2 linked regions of the Drosophila melanogaster genome follow. The protein of the gene in region 2 purifies or fractionates together with the protein of the main gene of each other region. This does not show direct contact. Each region holds a gene or a part of one and is shown on either strand. Other genes may lie near its edges.

Evidence for each region. Proteins that work in one complex are often made in the same cells at the same time.
Region 1: the proteins of zda (region 2) and osy purify together in Drosophila melanogaster (affinity purification with mass spectrometry, with the first as the bait; one large-scale study listed by BioGRID). This does not show direct contact.

The regions. Positions count from the first base shown.
Region 1 is NT_033777.3:26,315,059-26,323,243, reverse strand, and holds the start of osy (oskyddad), read right to left. Parts: upstream 4,890-8,185; 5' UTR 4,271-4,889; intron 1-4,270.
Region 2 is NT_033778.4:18,626,731-18,634,743, forward strand, and holds zda (zonda), read right to left. Parts: upstream 5,173-8,013; 5' UTR 5,020-5,172; intron 4,906-5,019; exon of another isoform or gene 4,901-4,905; 5' UTR 4,895-4,900; coding exon 4,403-4,894; intron 4,349-4,402; coding exon 4,266-4,348; intron 4,209-4,265; coding exon 3,899-4,208; intron 3,839-3,898; coding exon 3,608-3,838; intron 3,547-3,607; coding exon 3,469-3,546; 3' UTR 2,864-3,468; downstream 1-2,863. Other genes in the region: Sec6 (secretory 6), read left to right, coding at 1-894; Cth (cystathionine gamma-lyase), read left to right, coding at 1,265-2,446; CG30122 (uncharacterized protein), read right to left, coding at 6,092-6,256, 6,324-6,397, 6,462-6,633, 6,696-7,555.

The DNA of each region.
Region 1 (8,185 bases), on a different chromosome or scaffold from region 2:
TAGTGCTTTTATTTTTTTGAACACAGCTGTATTTTCTGGATATAGGTATAAATAAATATCGGTGACAAATGCTTTGTATTTCTTTTTTATTCAAGTGTTTGCAATGACTATCGCCAGGAATTGTTTGGCTATGATTTAACTAACCGAAAAACGAGGGTCATTCGTATGGGACTTTAATATTTCTGCAGTAATTACTTTGCCTGGCATTCAGTATTCAATTTGTATTCTTTTATAGAGTTCGCATTGTAATAATTAACAGACGACCTCACGCGAGCTGCAGACTTTTGTTTTGGTTTACGGTTTGATGTGTGAATTGTGCTAACATTTTCCAAACAATTATGCACAGATTTCCACGCTCATTTTCAAGGTTCAACTGTATTTTCAACTAAATTTAGTCAACACCACAACGGCCAACAAAGCAACAACAGTGGCAATAACAATTAAAAATGCGCCGGCATTGCATTTTATTCGGTTTAACAGTTGAGCGCTTTCAGTCAAAAACAAACACTTCCAAAAAAAATGGAAAATAGATGGTAAACTAGAGCGCTGTGATCCAATTTCAAGCCACGGCTTTCAGCTCCCAGCTGAGCTTAGTTGCTTAGTCAACTTTGCTGGGTGAGTAATCGCAAACTGAATTCTGCTTTACTTGCTTCACTTCTGTGTTTTTGGCTTTTTTCTTTGCTTGAGCAAGACCGCCAACCGAAAAGGCCAGACTGTAAGCGGCTTTTAGCGGGGAGAAGCGTTCAAGTGTCACTTGAAAGAGTCATTAACCCGGAATAATCTGTCGAGAGTGACTTAAGGAGTCGCCTCTGGACACGATGATGGACGGACGGGCGGATGGTACAGTTTTCAATTAAGACGATGACAAAAGGAAATTTAATTAAGTGCTGCGATTTGCGAATTGCAATGCCATCCATAAAGAGTTCTCTCAATGTCAGCGATCTGTAAACCCTTGAAAATCATGTCATCGCATTTTCCGTCCGTTCCATTCATAAAACAACACCGAATTCCGCTCGCCAAATGAAATCACAGCCCATCGCTTGGCACTTCGTATTCGGTGTGCCCCTAGGAGACCGATTCCCAGCGTCGAAAAAAAAAGGAGGAGGAGTATCTGAAAAAACCAGCTTTGAAATGAAATGCAAATGGGGAGCCCTAAAAAAGCGTTGCAATGTCGGAATGAAAAGCGGCTACATATGCCTGTTTATATGCAAATATCACATATCGTACATATGTGCGTAAACATTTGGCAATTACTCGGCACCGGTGCGGTGTCTTTGTTTCTTTTATTTTTTATTTTTTTTACTGCCTGGAGGCCGCTGTTTGTTCTATTTGCTGACATACAAATAAGTGTGCAAAAAGACATACATACATATATAGCCGAATGGCGGCGACCTTTCGTCTCGTTTTGCTTCTAGGGAATTTCAATTTAAATTCTGATTAAATTTCAGTGCGCTTCAATGCAAAAAGTCGTCTATATATTTTTTGCATCTGTATACATTTTATTGATTGTTGGTCTGAGCAGCCTCGCAGATTATGTCTCATTTTTCCCACTGACACTGGCACACTAAGCTGGCATTTGTTATGCAAATTTATTTTCGATTACTTGTTACCAAAGATTTTCCTGAGATTATGCAAATGTGCCGAAAGGAGGGCACCACATCTATCTGGCCCATAGATCTACATTATTGCTGCCTTACAAGTGGCTTATTACAGTTAGTGTTTGTCGGCTGTCAGGAAGTGGGATAAACGTTGCAAATATGACGAGAAAGGAAACTTTGCATATTCTCATGAACATTTTTGGCGGCATAAAAATGATATGAGTTGGAAAATCTACTTTCGCATTTGGAGACTGTTTATGTTTATCGCCAAATTGAATCCATTGATTTCGCATCATAGTCAATTTTATTCCGGCCATTTGCCCAACGTGTTTCATAACTTTGTTAGGGGTATTTGCATAATTGATTTTACTTCCTTCTCAAACGCTATTTACAATAATTAAACTTGACTGAATTGTCAGTGTGGAAACTTGCAAATTGATTATATTGATATTTATTAATGGGCCAAGACAGCGATGAATTAGGGCAACAAATATTTTATAATGGTCCCATTACATGTCGTTTCAACTCAAATATAAACTTTTAAATGCTTGGTATTGTAGGTAAATGGGAAATTAAATTGACAATTATTGTATCAGTATTTTAAGGGCAATTATAACACCCTTTTGCAATTCATTTTATGAATCCAGAAATAAATATATCTTTTTTATACCACATTCTTTGGCTTCTCACGCGCTGCTCATTTATTATGATGTTTTTCACATATCTGACACTTTTTGCAAATAAAATCAAACAGATAAATTAAATTTGCCACAGACTTTTGGCTGTCGTTTTGATTTTTTTTTACTTTTTTTTCGTGTCCATAAAGTTCGACTTTGATTGCATTCGTGGAGCCATGTCTCACGCCGGAAAATCGTACAAAAAAGGAAAATATATTTATTTGTATTTGAGCGAATACTTTTATTGGCGGTTACCTTTGGCTCGCTGTGTGGTCGTTTAATTGAATAATTATATACACACATACCCACGTATATGCCTATAATTTTTTTGCTACTCGGCTTATATTGATTCGCATAGATTGTAAATCAATTGCCATTACATGTGCATCCGCTGGCTGGAATGCAAATGTAACAAATGGCCAAAACGACGATGCGCCTTGACAAACTCAATAAAGGCCCACTTCCCACAGTTAAGAGTTGTCAAAGCTCGACAAATGGAAAAGTGATATAAAAAAAAACATGCAATGTATAAATAAATAATTGTGCAGTGGCTTGGCGTTAATTGCACTTTAAAAAGTCCCAAACAAGTGCCGAAATGGTAAATGCAATTTATTGCCGTCGGCAATCGGCAGCTAACGAGTGCTTCAAATTGAACACGGATGCACTAATTAGAATTTTTGGTCAAAACAATTAGCAATTTAAGCAGAATTATTTCAATTTAGCGAAAAAATGACCCGAAAAGTTTTATTTAATTTCCGCTAATAGAATTGGCAGCTGATGAATGCGAAATTTATTACTCATGCTCCAACAAAGACGGTGGGCAGTCATTGTTGATTGAGTTGTTGTGGACTAAGTTCATTTTTAATAAAATGCGAAAAGCGAGTTTCGTGTCGTTCATTCTGACTTGCAAGATCTTAAGAACCTCTTGCGCGGATCTACATACTCCTCATCGGCTTTATGGATTTCCTGGCAAAAATTTTAAAAGTGTTAGTCACTTGATTTCCAGTTTTGCGCAACTCATGTGAAATAATTAATATGAGCACACGCCTTGACCAACATTAATTTAATAATTTTTCATTAGTTAAACCATCATCTAAAAATTAGTCAGAGCTTAATGGGTTCCTTTTTTGGGCGCTTCTCTTTAAATGTAATCGTTTAACTTAGTGGGTGCATCGTAACCTTTCTGCTTTTAGTTGTTTAAAACTAATTTTTTTTTGCTGAGCAGGTCAAAGTTACCTAACGAGTCGAGTTTTGCGGTTTTAATTGTACCAAGTAACGCGGTCACCTCGATTATTGTTGTTGTTCTTGCGGCAACGCTCATTGTTGCGGTTTGTGTGTAAATTTTGGAAAGGTTAAGTGCCTGGTTGCAGTCAGCAAATTAAATAATTACAAACGGCTGTTAAAGAGCCAGAGTTATGAGCCCTTCGCAGAAGGACAGCTGATATGCAGAAGTACTCTAAATTTACAACCAGACCTTTTCTTTAAAAACCTACATATATTGCCAATAAATATTTATTTAATTGTTTAGTCAAATAAAGTATTAGATAAAGTAACATCCAAATATCACTTAAAAACCAAAAAAAAAATCACTTAAAGTGTAGTTCTTAAACATGGTTTCTCTGTGCTTTAACCTTAAGTCATTTGCTACATCTTTACACCGCCTCGACAAAAGTCGTCCGAAACTGAAAAGTTCAAAAAACGCGAGACAAAAGTCGCGGCAACAAAGGCAGCAGCAAAAGCAGAAGCATTCATTTGGAGATTCAACTTCGCCTGAGTTTGCATTTTAAAGCCGTTGCTGTTGACCTTGGGCTGCATAAATCGAATTGGAGCAGGTCGTTGACGAAGCTGGTGTTTTTACTGAATGGTTTTTTCTTTTGGGAATGCGAAGCCCTGCATTATCTGGGCATCCTTGAGCTGGTTGAGTGGGAAATCCCCTCAGCATCCACAGCAGCCCTTGGCATTTTAATGTGAAGGAGGCCAATGGCCTGCGGTTACCTGTGCTCCTTGAAGTTCTTAAATGGACCGCAGCTGCTTTTATTCCGGCGAGAAACCACGAATTGCAGGAACTGTGGCAACAGTCTGTTATTGATTTTCCTCGTAATTTGTATTTTCCCCCTTTATTTTTGTTGTTTTGTTATTTTTTGCTGACTAACTTTTGGCTTTGCGGCTGGCAAAAGTCAACAGAAACGTAAAGAACACGTTTGCTTTTAGTTAACCTGTTTTGGCAATGCCCAAAGATTGCGATTGAGCAAAGATTGAGCGGACACAGATACAGATACACCGAAACGTACACAGATACTACTGCCGACTAGACGAAGCGTGGTTGTTGTTTTCAATTTTTGTTTTACTTGCACAATTAGCCAACTGAAAAATTACCACACTGAGATGGATTTGAAAGCTGCACTGCACAATAATCGCCGCTAAAATTGGCTCATTCACAACGCTTGCAAGAAACTACGATCTGCAAAGTGCTCTGGTTTATGTCAACGCGAAAAATCCGCGCGCAAAGCCACACTAAAAGTATCTTAACACTCAGCTCAGGTTCTCGGCTTTGTTTGCTCAAGCGTTTCCGCGTTTTGCTTCTCGACTCGCCGACGACGTGAATTCAACTGATCAACTCAACAAAACCGACTTCGTAGCGCTGACAGATCGCCCAATTCGAAAATAGCATCGGCCTTATCGACAGCGGCGTCGGCAGCGACGTCTCTTGTTTATAGCCGCGTTTATGAAGCCGTCTAAACGACGCGTCTAAAAGATCAAAAATAGTAAGTGGAGTGCTTGGACTTCTGTGGCCGAAACTCTACCCACTTGACTAGCACAGGTGGGAACAGATCTGGGTCACGGTGGAAGTCTTTGCTAAGCTAAGCTTACAGCAGATCATTTTGGGAATTGAGCTTTGATCGTTCAATGCACAATGCGTCGTGGTTCATGTCCTTGCTATATTATAAATAAAAATTATATATTTTAGCTTTCTCTTTTTGATATACAAAAAATCAACAATTCTTTTTTAAAAAAATATTTATTTTGTATTTAGTAAGTTTAATAACTTAAATAACAATTTCACTTGTGCAACTAGCCTGCTGAAAGGACTTGCCCATACGAAAACTTAATAAAAGATTATCATGTATGGTGCATTGTGCCGTAACAAAAACACACAAGGCCCGAGCGATAATAGCAGCAACAATGCCGTCGGCCAAATGCGACCTCCGACCTCAGAGTTGGCTTATGTTCGTTGGGCACGCAAATCGGTTATTAGCTATAATGCAAACGTATTTTAGACACACACATTTATATCGCTTATTTTCGATGGTGCATTATTGCGGTTGTCTGATTGAAACGCCAGATCCCACACGCGGCCTTTTTGTTCGGGCCTGGACTCAAAGATAAGCGGCCCTCGGGACCTAAATAACTGGAACAACAAAAAATAAACGGACAAACGGACGGCAAACAAACTGTCTATTAGTTATTGTTGTTTGATTTGCAAAGCGTTTGTCATTTGTTAAATAAATTGATGGCCATTGCGGACCACTCGGCAAATAGCAAGTAAATACGAAAAGGGACACAAGTGGCTGAAATAACCGGAAAAGCTAATATTGAGCTTATGATTTAAGGCAGGCCAGAAAATGGCACTGGAATCCACAGCCCAGCCACCATTGTTCACAGTTTCGATGAAACTTTAAACTGGGGGGACTGTCAGAAGGCCTCAAAAGCAGCGGCAGTTAAGCATGACAAAACGCCGGGGCATCTCGGGAGGACACCCCTCTATTATCCTTCCAAAATCATCAGCTGTCAGTGCAGTGAGTTGAGACTTCAGCCACCAAAAAACGAGTCTGCAGTGTCACTGAGCGAGAAAGGAGCCCGCCAGAGAGCACAAGAAACTGAAATGACATTGACATTTTGAATAATGACGCAACACTATTTAAGTGGGAACTGCACGTCTAAAAATTGAATGAAGCCGAAAAATTATAATTAAATGCTTACAAAAATTTTTGGTAATGTAGAAGATTCTTTTCGACAACCCAAAATTGATATTCTTTAATTTGTAAAAGTATTGCAGGACATATTACATTTAAGTTAAATAATCAGTTAATTTTTAGACGTGTATTGACAGCTTTCCCAGGGCACAGGCACCCAACGGAGTTTGGAATTGGACTTGCCCATGGGGAGACGCTCGCCGGACTGCTGGCAGAGATTAGCTGCAAGTTTTGAAGGATGTTCCGGTGCCGTCTTACGCCGAGGATCCATCTGGAATCCCGGCAGCTGCTCTTTCTCCGGCCAATCGCGAATTGGCTAAAGTTGTCTTGGGTTCGTGCCCAACGAGCGGGCATGGCTCCTAATGAACAGTGTCTAGTGCACATCGCTGGGGGAAAGAATGTCATTAGAGCCACCATCCCGGGAACACCTCTTAAATGGCCAAATGCCGTAGCTAAACCCCAGCGAAGACGATGCCAAGTGGCCATAATCACAGAGGTGCAATTTGCAGCGGGCAAAAGAAAGAATAAATTCGCGCACAAAGTGCCAAGTTAAAAGCACAAACAAAACAGCAATAAGGATACGAATAAGAATAAGCAGCAAAGGAGAAATAGTTGGAAAAACTAAAATTAAACTGGCTCCGCGACTGCAGGCAGCGGCACTGTTTAATATAATTTTCATTTTATACTTTTTGTAGCCCAACCAACATTTAGCTTTAAGTTGGCCGAGTGTTGAAAAAACAACTTGAGATTGTAATTAGTTTTTGTTGCTCCTGGGTTTAACTGGAGGGAAACTTTCAAATTGAACCAAAGACGGCGGCAAAGGGATGGAATATTTTGCGGTTCCAACTTTTACTCACTGGTCTTACCAAATTGCAAATATGTCTGCGAAAAATCTCATTAAGTATACGAAATGTGGTACGCGCCATGTCGCCGAGGGAGCGGGCATAAAAATGCAATAAGAAAAACCAAGAGCGAAACGAAAATGAGAGAAGGAAAGTAAATAAAAATTATGAATGTCGTTTGCCCAGATTTAAGAGAGAGAAAGGAAAGGAAAAGCGAAAAGTGAAAAGGAAAAACCATAGAAAAGCGAGTTGCAAATGACTTAAGGTCCATTTTCCCTCTCGCTCTGGCAACAGGTAACACTGCCTAGATGCTACTAGAAAACTCGGCCACAGACTGGGTCAAGTTTGAGTGGAGTTGGCAGTCCCTTTCCAACCACAAAGTTCTTTGGGCTCATCTAACGAGCAGTTTGAGCCCTTGTCTAGGTCATTTGGCCAGCAATGACCCTTATAATGCGCTTAATTTGCGTATGATGAGTTTTTGCACAACATTTGCCGAATTCTTCATAATCAAAAACGCAATCATGTTTGTGATCTGTAGGGAACACAAATACATAAATTTGCTTTATTACTCTTTTTTTGGAAGAATTTTTTTTACCTAAAAACCTTTAGCGAAACCTTAAAGCCAACGTAAATGAAAACCTTTGCTTCTTGACACGGAAAGTCTCACCTTGCCGCGCCACATTCAATTTCAACGCCCACGCGGGCGTCATAATTACAAACTGGCCACATAATTAAACAAACTGGCTCAATTAAAATGGCACAGCCCCGCCACATCCAGAAATGGAAAGCGAAAGCGAAAAGCACAACAACCGCGAAAAAAATGGCTGCGGAATTATTTCATTTGCAAAAGTCGCTTTCATTAGACGATTTGCTGGTTGCAGACGTCGACGCTCAAAGTCAAAAACGTTTTAACCTTTTAAGCGCCACAGTAATACGACCAAAGCTGCCGTTTCGGGTAGTTTAAGGAGTAGCAAAGGGATGCTGAGCGGTGGGTGCTGGTCGCGCAGAAATAGGGCGCAGGATGCCAAGGACACGATGCGGATGCTGACTCTGATGGGCCCTGGCAACACATTGAGGTTACGCGAAGCGAATGG
Region 2 (8,013 bases):
ATTCATCAGGAACTGACGTTCAAGGCGTTGGTAATGAGCATTCAGCAGGTGGAGATCTTTGGCCAGACATATCTTAAGAACGTAATCGAGCTGAAGGAACACCATTTTCGCAATCGGGACCAGATCAAATACTTCACTCACTACATCATCACCATCGTGAATAACAGTCAGCAAATGGTTGAACTGGCGCAGCAGATGAAACAACTCTACTGGCCCAAGTCACGTACTGAGCATTATGAGGATTTCGAACGTTTGCTTGCCACATTCCAGCGGATCCGGGCTCATGCCGCAAGTTACTTGCTGGAGGAAGCCTTCCTGGACATGGAGTGTCACTTTAACGACCTATTCACTGCCAAGTGGCTGGCCAGTAACATTGCCGTGGACACCATTTGTGTAACGCTGGACGATTACTTCCAGGACTATAATCACCTGCGACCCAATAACTTCGAGATGGTCATCAACGAGGCCCAGAAGCTGCTGGCCAAGCGCTACATTAGGGCACTGCTATCCAAGCGACTGTCTAAGCCACGGGCCGAGTGCGATGCCATTACGCGAAAAATCAAGACCGAAGCCAAGCGGTTTAAGCTCTTCTTTGAGAAAATCGCGCCGAAGATTTCCCTCAGCGACTCTCCATTGGATCTTATATCCACGCTATCGGCACTGCTTAGCTCGGATATCGAACTGCTCGTCTTGGACCTGCACACCTTGCTGGGCAGCTATCCGTCTCTGAACGAGGACCACCTGGTACGGCTCTTTTACATTCGCAACGATGTGAAGGCGGCCGAGGTGCGCGAGAAGGTGCAGGATGCCATGAAGTCGAAGAAGGCAATGGTCAGCATCGCCAAGCAGGATTGCATCTTCAAGGAGATCGTGTTCAGCGACAAACTGTGGTAGACCTTGGAGTATAGTTCCCAACCCATTCCGCATGTCCCTTTCTGTTCAGTATCGTATTTACTCTTAAGCTGCGATTGTAATATTATTGTGCTTTATCAACAAATAAATTATTGTATAAATAATCGAAGAAGTTCTAAGGAAAGTAAGAATATCCATCGTTTCAATGCATATATGTATCGTTACTTTTGAAGGGTTCCGTTTTCTAGCCGTTTAATAGCTAGAGCTCCATCACTGTCGGCGAATGTAGTGTTGTAACGGTCGAAATATTTAATTACCGGCTAGGCGATAACATCTGGCAGGAGTATATATATTCGCGACGGTCTCTCTCCACGTGTCAGTCAGTTCCCAACGATCCTCCTACCCAGACAAGATGAGCTACAGAGTCCAGCCGAGCGGCTTCGCCACCAAGTCCATCCACTCGGGCCAGAGCCCCGACCAGTGGAAGAGTGCTGCCGTGATTCCGCCGATATCGCTGAGCACCACCTTCAAGCAAGATGCACCGGGCGAGCACAGGGGCTATGAGTACTCCCGCAGTGGAAATCCCACTAGGAACGTGCTGGAGACGTGCTTCGCCGCCTTGGATAATGCCAAATACGGCCTCACGTTCTCATCGGGATTGGGAGCCACCACCGCTGTGCTAACTATGCTGAGCAGCGGCGATCACATCATCATGGGCGACGATGTTTACGGAGGCACCAACCGTTTGATCCGACAGGTTGCCACCCGTCTGGGAATCTCAGCCACCTTTGTGGATCCCACGAAGTTGGATCTAATTAAAAGTTCCATCAAGCCGGAGACCAAGTTGGTGTGGATCGAGTCACCAACTAATCCATTGGTAAAGGTAGCCGACATCGAGGCTATTGCGCAGCTGGTCCATGGAGTACGCGAGGATATCGTCCTGGCCGTCGACAACACCTTCCTGACCTCCTACTTCCAGCGACCCTTGGAGCTGGGCGCTGATCTGGTCTGCTACTCCCTGACCAAGTACATGAACGGTCATACGGATGTGGTCATGGGTGGCATCACCATGAACTCGGAGAAGCTCTACAAAAGCTTGAAGTTCCTGCAGAACGCAGTGGGCATTGTGCCGTCTCCATTCGACTGCTATCAGGTGAACAGAAGTCTTAAGACGCTCTCGCTGCGCATGGAACAGCACCAGAAGAATGCTCTGAAGGTTGCCAAATACCTGGAGACGAATCCGTTCGTGGAGAAGGTGTTGCATCCCTCTTTGCCCTCCCATCCGCAGCACAAGATCGCTCTGAAGCAGGCATACGGATACAGCGGCGTGTTCTCCTTCTACATTAAGGGCGAGCTGAAGCACTCCTCGGCTTTCCTCAAGGCCCTCAAGGTGTTCACCCTGGCAGAGAGTCTGGGTGGCTACGAGAGTCTGGCCGAGCTTCCATCAATAATGACCCATGCCTCGGTTCCAGCGGAGGATAGGAAAACTTTGGGCATCACTGACGGTCTAGTTCGCTTGTCCGTCGGACTGGAGGATGCCGATGATTTGATCAAGGATCTGGAGCAGGCCCTTGAAATTGCATCGAAGGCCTAAGTTACTCGCATCACATGTATTTTTTTTATTTTTCGCAGGAATTTGTTTAACCGAAAGCTTATGAATTTGTATATTAATCACCCCAATAAAAGTGTTTTGTCTCAAATGAAAGATATTTATAAACACTTGCTTATAAACATACGTTTGTAAACATATAGACTTTCTGGATAGATCGAATAGATATTACAGATTGTGGCGAACTGATAAGATGTGGTAAATAAAGCTTTGTGTTATTGCTGGTTTTTTTTTCACAATTATTGTTGATATAGTGATCAGATACTGAAAATTGTTGATGTCTTGATAGGTTTATATACGATCGCAGCTGCATTACCTCCACGACCCCCCATAGAAACAGCCTTGGGAGACCCAAATATACCCATTGTCATGTCGATTACCATACGCAAACAATGAATCAGCATGTTTAAATTCGCACCATCATTTAATCATTCTAAGTCGCGATAGAAGAAAATTATATCTCTTGAACGGATGTTCCGATTTGTTTTTACAAAAGTTCGTTTGCCTTTTAGATTAGAGCAGAGTTTAGTTAAATCATGCATTATTTAAGTAACGAACAAAAAAAATCAAGTTAGGAGTTCTTATCAGTGCTGCTCTTATCAGTATCATTACATTCATATGGTATTTCATATGCTTTCTTTCGAACCTTATTGCAAGTTCATAAATATGGTCTGATTTCGATTGTGTTGCTTTATTTCGTTTGAAAATTGTATAAAACATAATGATGAGAATATTGTGTTTATTTTAACAATTCCCGTTACTTGTCTGACAGAATGTAGTTGATTAAACTTAAGCTTTAACATTATATGTACGATATCCAAAACCATACTATTTGAAAGATACATACTATTGTGAAGTGTGCATAGCATTAAATGTACAACGAGAGCCATATCATCATAATAAGCAACTGCGACTTTCCAACATTCATAATTTTGCCTTCTATATATACTTAAAAAATGCATTTCAATTGCTTAAAATAACCAGTAGTTCGTGTGCAATGCTTGTCCTTAGTACTTGTAACGATAAATAGCGACGCCAGCCACTCCAATTAATATCGTACCCATTAGATAGCCAAGCAGCTTCAGCTGAATGACAAAATGAGAATTAACACTCGGTTTTTTTTTATAAACTCATTAGCTATCTCACCTTGGAATTGTCGACAAGCGGCTGCTTTTGCCTGGTGGCAGTATTCTGCTCCATTTTTTTGGCCTGGCCCAGCATCTTTTGATACATCTCCTTTTCGTTGTGCTCCTCACGACGAGCCTTGATGAAAAGTCTGGCCAAATCCGATTGAACGGCTCGATTTTCGGGTTCGAGAGTAGCCACTTTTTGCAGTAGCTTAATAGCACCCTGGGTGTCCGCTTTGCCCTCCAATATCTGCCGGGTAATTTAAGTATTTTGTGAATGAAAATCGATGGTTCTGAGCCAACAACTTACTCTTCCTTTGCGATACAAGGCTTTGGAGTTATTTGGCTGGCACCGCAGCACATGCTCCACGGACTGCAGAGCTGCGTCATAAGCGGCAATCTTGATTTGAGTCATTGCCAAGTTATTGTAAACGATCAACCGATCCTCTAGCAGGGTCTGCGTGTCACTGTTCGAGAGCTCCAAGTCTTCCTTGTCGAACTCGGAGTCCGGATCCCCATCACGATTGTCCAGAAAGTCGAGGGCACGTCTGTACAGGTGAATGGCGGTTGTGAACTCCGAGCGTTTGTAAAAGAAATTGGCACGTTCTTTCTTGCGCGTACTGAAAAGATGAATTATTTTTTAAGAACCGACTAGCAAAGCAAAGAATATAACATACCCATATTTGCGCAGTATTTCAAAGCTCTTAAGGTCCGCAAATTCTTCGTATTTGATATCCAGAAGCTCTATTTCGTAGGTAAGCTGGAAAATTGATATATGTGAAGAGTTCTTATGACAATTTGAATATAAACTTACGTGCGCATCGGGTGGTACCAGGTACTCGGATTCACCCTCTTTTTTCAGTCCTAGGGAGCCGTAGCCGAAGCGGGAATCCACGCTGACTTGGGACACTTCGCCGACCTGCAGCATGGGCAACACCATATCTAATCCTTGGATAACCTCGTAGTCTCCCACGTGACACTGGAAGTTCAACTCGTTCTCGACCACCGTGCCGTTGTCCAGTTTTCCAGTGAAGTTCACGGTGACCAATTCGCCGCGAATCGGACGCCTAAACGAGTCTTGCGGTGCCTTTTTGATGGTGCGCTTAATCAGCTGCTTGTTACCCAGTATATCACATTCCTCCTCTGCATCCTCCTCCTCCGCCTTCTGTCCGTCTCCAGAAACGGATGCCGGGGGTGCGCCATCTCCGGAGGCTGCCTCCTCCGCTGCCACCTTGCGAATGTCTTTGGTGTCCTCGGCGTTGGTCAGGTCCTCGAAGGAGCTGCTGCTAGACTTCTCCGTATCCATAATTACCTATGCTTGGCGAGGCGAAAGTATGTAAATCAGTGGAACTCGGAACAAAGGGCAAAGGCAAAGTGGGAGGGTTGGTCGAGTTTGCTGGTTTCAGAACGGCACACCTAATCTCAACTTACAGCAGTATCTGATTGTGATATCGGATTTTGGTAAAAAAAAAATGATTTAATTTGATTTCAAAAGCAAAATGCGACAAGAAAGTTACTGGGAAACGAAAAATAATTTTACGGACTTCTGCCAGCTAGCCAGTGTGACCAAGTTGCAGTGTGCCCGTTTGCCGAAAATTCCGCTAAGCCGCACTGGTAGTGACTCAAGTAAAAATTTTATCACATTAGTTTATTATTTAAACAGCTTATCTTTAGAAAATATTTATTAGCTACAAATATCCTTTGCTTTATTTTTTTGAATTTCAGTTACTCATAGCACAACTTAAGTTTGAAATCTAAGGCAAACTTACTAATTTTTTTTTGGAAATAAAAATATACATTTAAAAAAAAAAGCAAACGTTAGTTTTTAGTTTAATAAAACTGTTTTAAACACTAAATTAGAAAATACATACTTGCAGACTCCAATATTTCTTAAATTGCATTCGGCCTAATGTAAATTTTAAAATTAGCTGTTTATCGTGTTTTAACGATTTGTCCTTTAAAATGCGAGCGCATTACACACCCTTTCCCAGTAATAAGATCGTTTAAATAGATTTTTTCAATGTATAGATTTATTCGTTAATGTTTCTTCTCTAATGCGTTCATTTCAATTGTTTGCGTTGATTGTAAAAAATAAAACAATAATCGTAATAAACGTTAAAACAAGTTGTACTGCCTAGATACGTAGTGCCAGAGTAAAGACCGCGTTTCATTCAATTGCTTCGTCACTGTCATATAGAAAATGCGTTGTGGAAAATGAAAAGCGAAACATTCACGTTCAATTTCAAATGATATATGTAGTCTTAGTTTTGTACAATCCATCCGAAGGTAAGGTAAGAATTTTGACTTAGGGTTTGGTTAGCCCTCGCAATTGTTTGGTTTCGACTAGCCCAAACTGGCTAAACTAAATTAATTTTGTTTTACTGTTCGTTAATCGTTTAAAACTATTATATAAAGTTTAGTTCAGATTTGTGGTTAACTCCTTTCGGGACAACGCAGAGGGGTCTGGGCCTGGTGGAACACGGCTGCATAGTGTTGCTGCATTCTACTTCTTGTCGGCACCCGCATTGGACTGCGTGGAGTACGAATATTGAGACCAGTAATGATTGGCGGCACCGCCATCATTATTGCCAGCGCCGCCGCCGACATTTACGCCTGATCCGCCACTGGCATTCCCAGCCGCTGCTCCGCCAGAGCCCTGCTGCTGCTGCTGTTAAAGAAACAATATCTTTAGTATTCTCGCTTCCAATGACTTTCATAAGACTCCTCCTGCTTACCTGCCACCAGGACATCCACTGTTGTTGCTGCTGCGGATCGGCACTCTGCCAGGCCTGTTGGTTGCCATAACCTGCTGGGAGAATCAACATAACTCGTATAGTCTTCGCCCTTAAGCAGTCGAACACTGCGTCACTTACTCTGCATTTGGTTATAGGCCCAGTATTGTTGCTGGCCCGCCGCTGCTTGCTGAGGTTGTTGGTATTGTTGTGACTGCTGCTGAGTCTGCCAGATGCCCGTTTGTTGATGCTGCGGCGCCTGCTGTTGCTGATGGTGTTGACTGTACGTACTCCACTTGCCGCTAAGGGAGGCCTACAGGAACGATCGAGATCTTAGCCAGCTGTCATGCGTCGAGGATTTGGTCGCACACTTACCTTGCCTCCGCCAGGTGCTCCACCTTGTTGCTTGTACTGATCGTAGCCACCGCCTACAGCGGTGTTATTGCCATACTTGGGTAGCGATTGACCAGCTGACCGCTCATAGCCACCGCGACTATCTTCTTTGGTGTCGCGGTGGCCAGGCCGAAAATCCCGTTGTTGATGAGTACCACCTCCCGAGCGATAGCTACTCTGGCTGCTGCCCCGGTTCCGGTCGTTACTGCCCATTCGACTGCGGTCGTTGCCACGGTCTCGATCGCGATAGTCCCGCGAGCTGCCGTAGCCGCGGTCGTCATACCCACTTCTGCGGTTGTTCTGCATCCAGTTTTGCTGACCACCACCACCACCACCACCACCGCCGCCGCCGCCACCACCACCGCTGCCGCCTGCGTATCCACGGTTGCGATTGTCGTATCCACGACTGCCGCTTCCACCGCCACCATAGCCGCGATCATCGTACCCGCTTCTGCGGCTGTTCTGCACCCAATTTTGCTGGCCACCGCTACCGCTGTTGTAGTTGCGGCGATTGTCGTAGCCACGACTGCCGCCTCCACCACTATTGCTGGAGTAACCGCCACCGCCGCCTCCCCTGCGGGAGTCGCTCCAACGACTTTCGTGCCGCTGGCCGCCATAATCACGACGTCGGTCATCATTGTATCGATTCCGGTTCCGGTCATCACGACGATAGTTGTCGCGACTTCCTCGGGATCTCTTGTCACGCGACCTCTCCGCGTCAATGGCCTTTTTGCCCTTCTCGTTGTACTTCTTGACCTCGCTCTTGGCCTCGTCACCAGTCAGCTCCGTGTAGTTTATATCATCGAACCAGCCAAACTCCAGCGAGGGAAGTGTGAAGTTGGCTGGAAAAAGATTGCGTGTACATCATCAATAAGGCTGCACAATTGCTAAAATCGCTCATTATCATTACAGATTAGGAATTATTGTAGATGGAGTATAGAGGGAAAGAAGGGATCAACTTTGGCAACCGAACGTAAAAGGGCGCAAAAATTTCGATTTTCAAGAAATCCAGTTGTGAATAAAGTCCATCCTTTATACGTTCCAGTTGCCAAGTGGGGGTTGTTATAGAATAAATGTTAATGAATAATGGTAATAATAATAATCAAATTATGAGATATTTTGAAGGGCTTACAGTTACAATTACGTATAGATACATAAAGTGCAGCTGCTTACAAACTAAATACGTTACATAAGTTTTTATAATGTTTTTCATTTTAACAAGAATGCCTCCTTATTTAGATAGGTAGAATAATAAGTTATACGATCGTACATTATTCTGGATTTTTTTTTTCAATTCGTT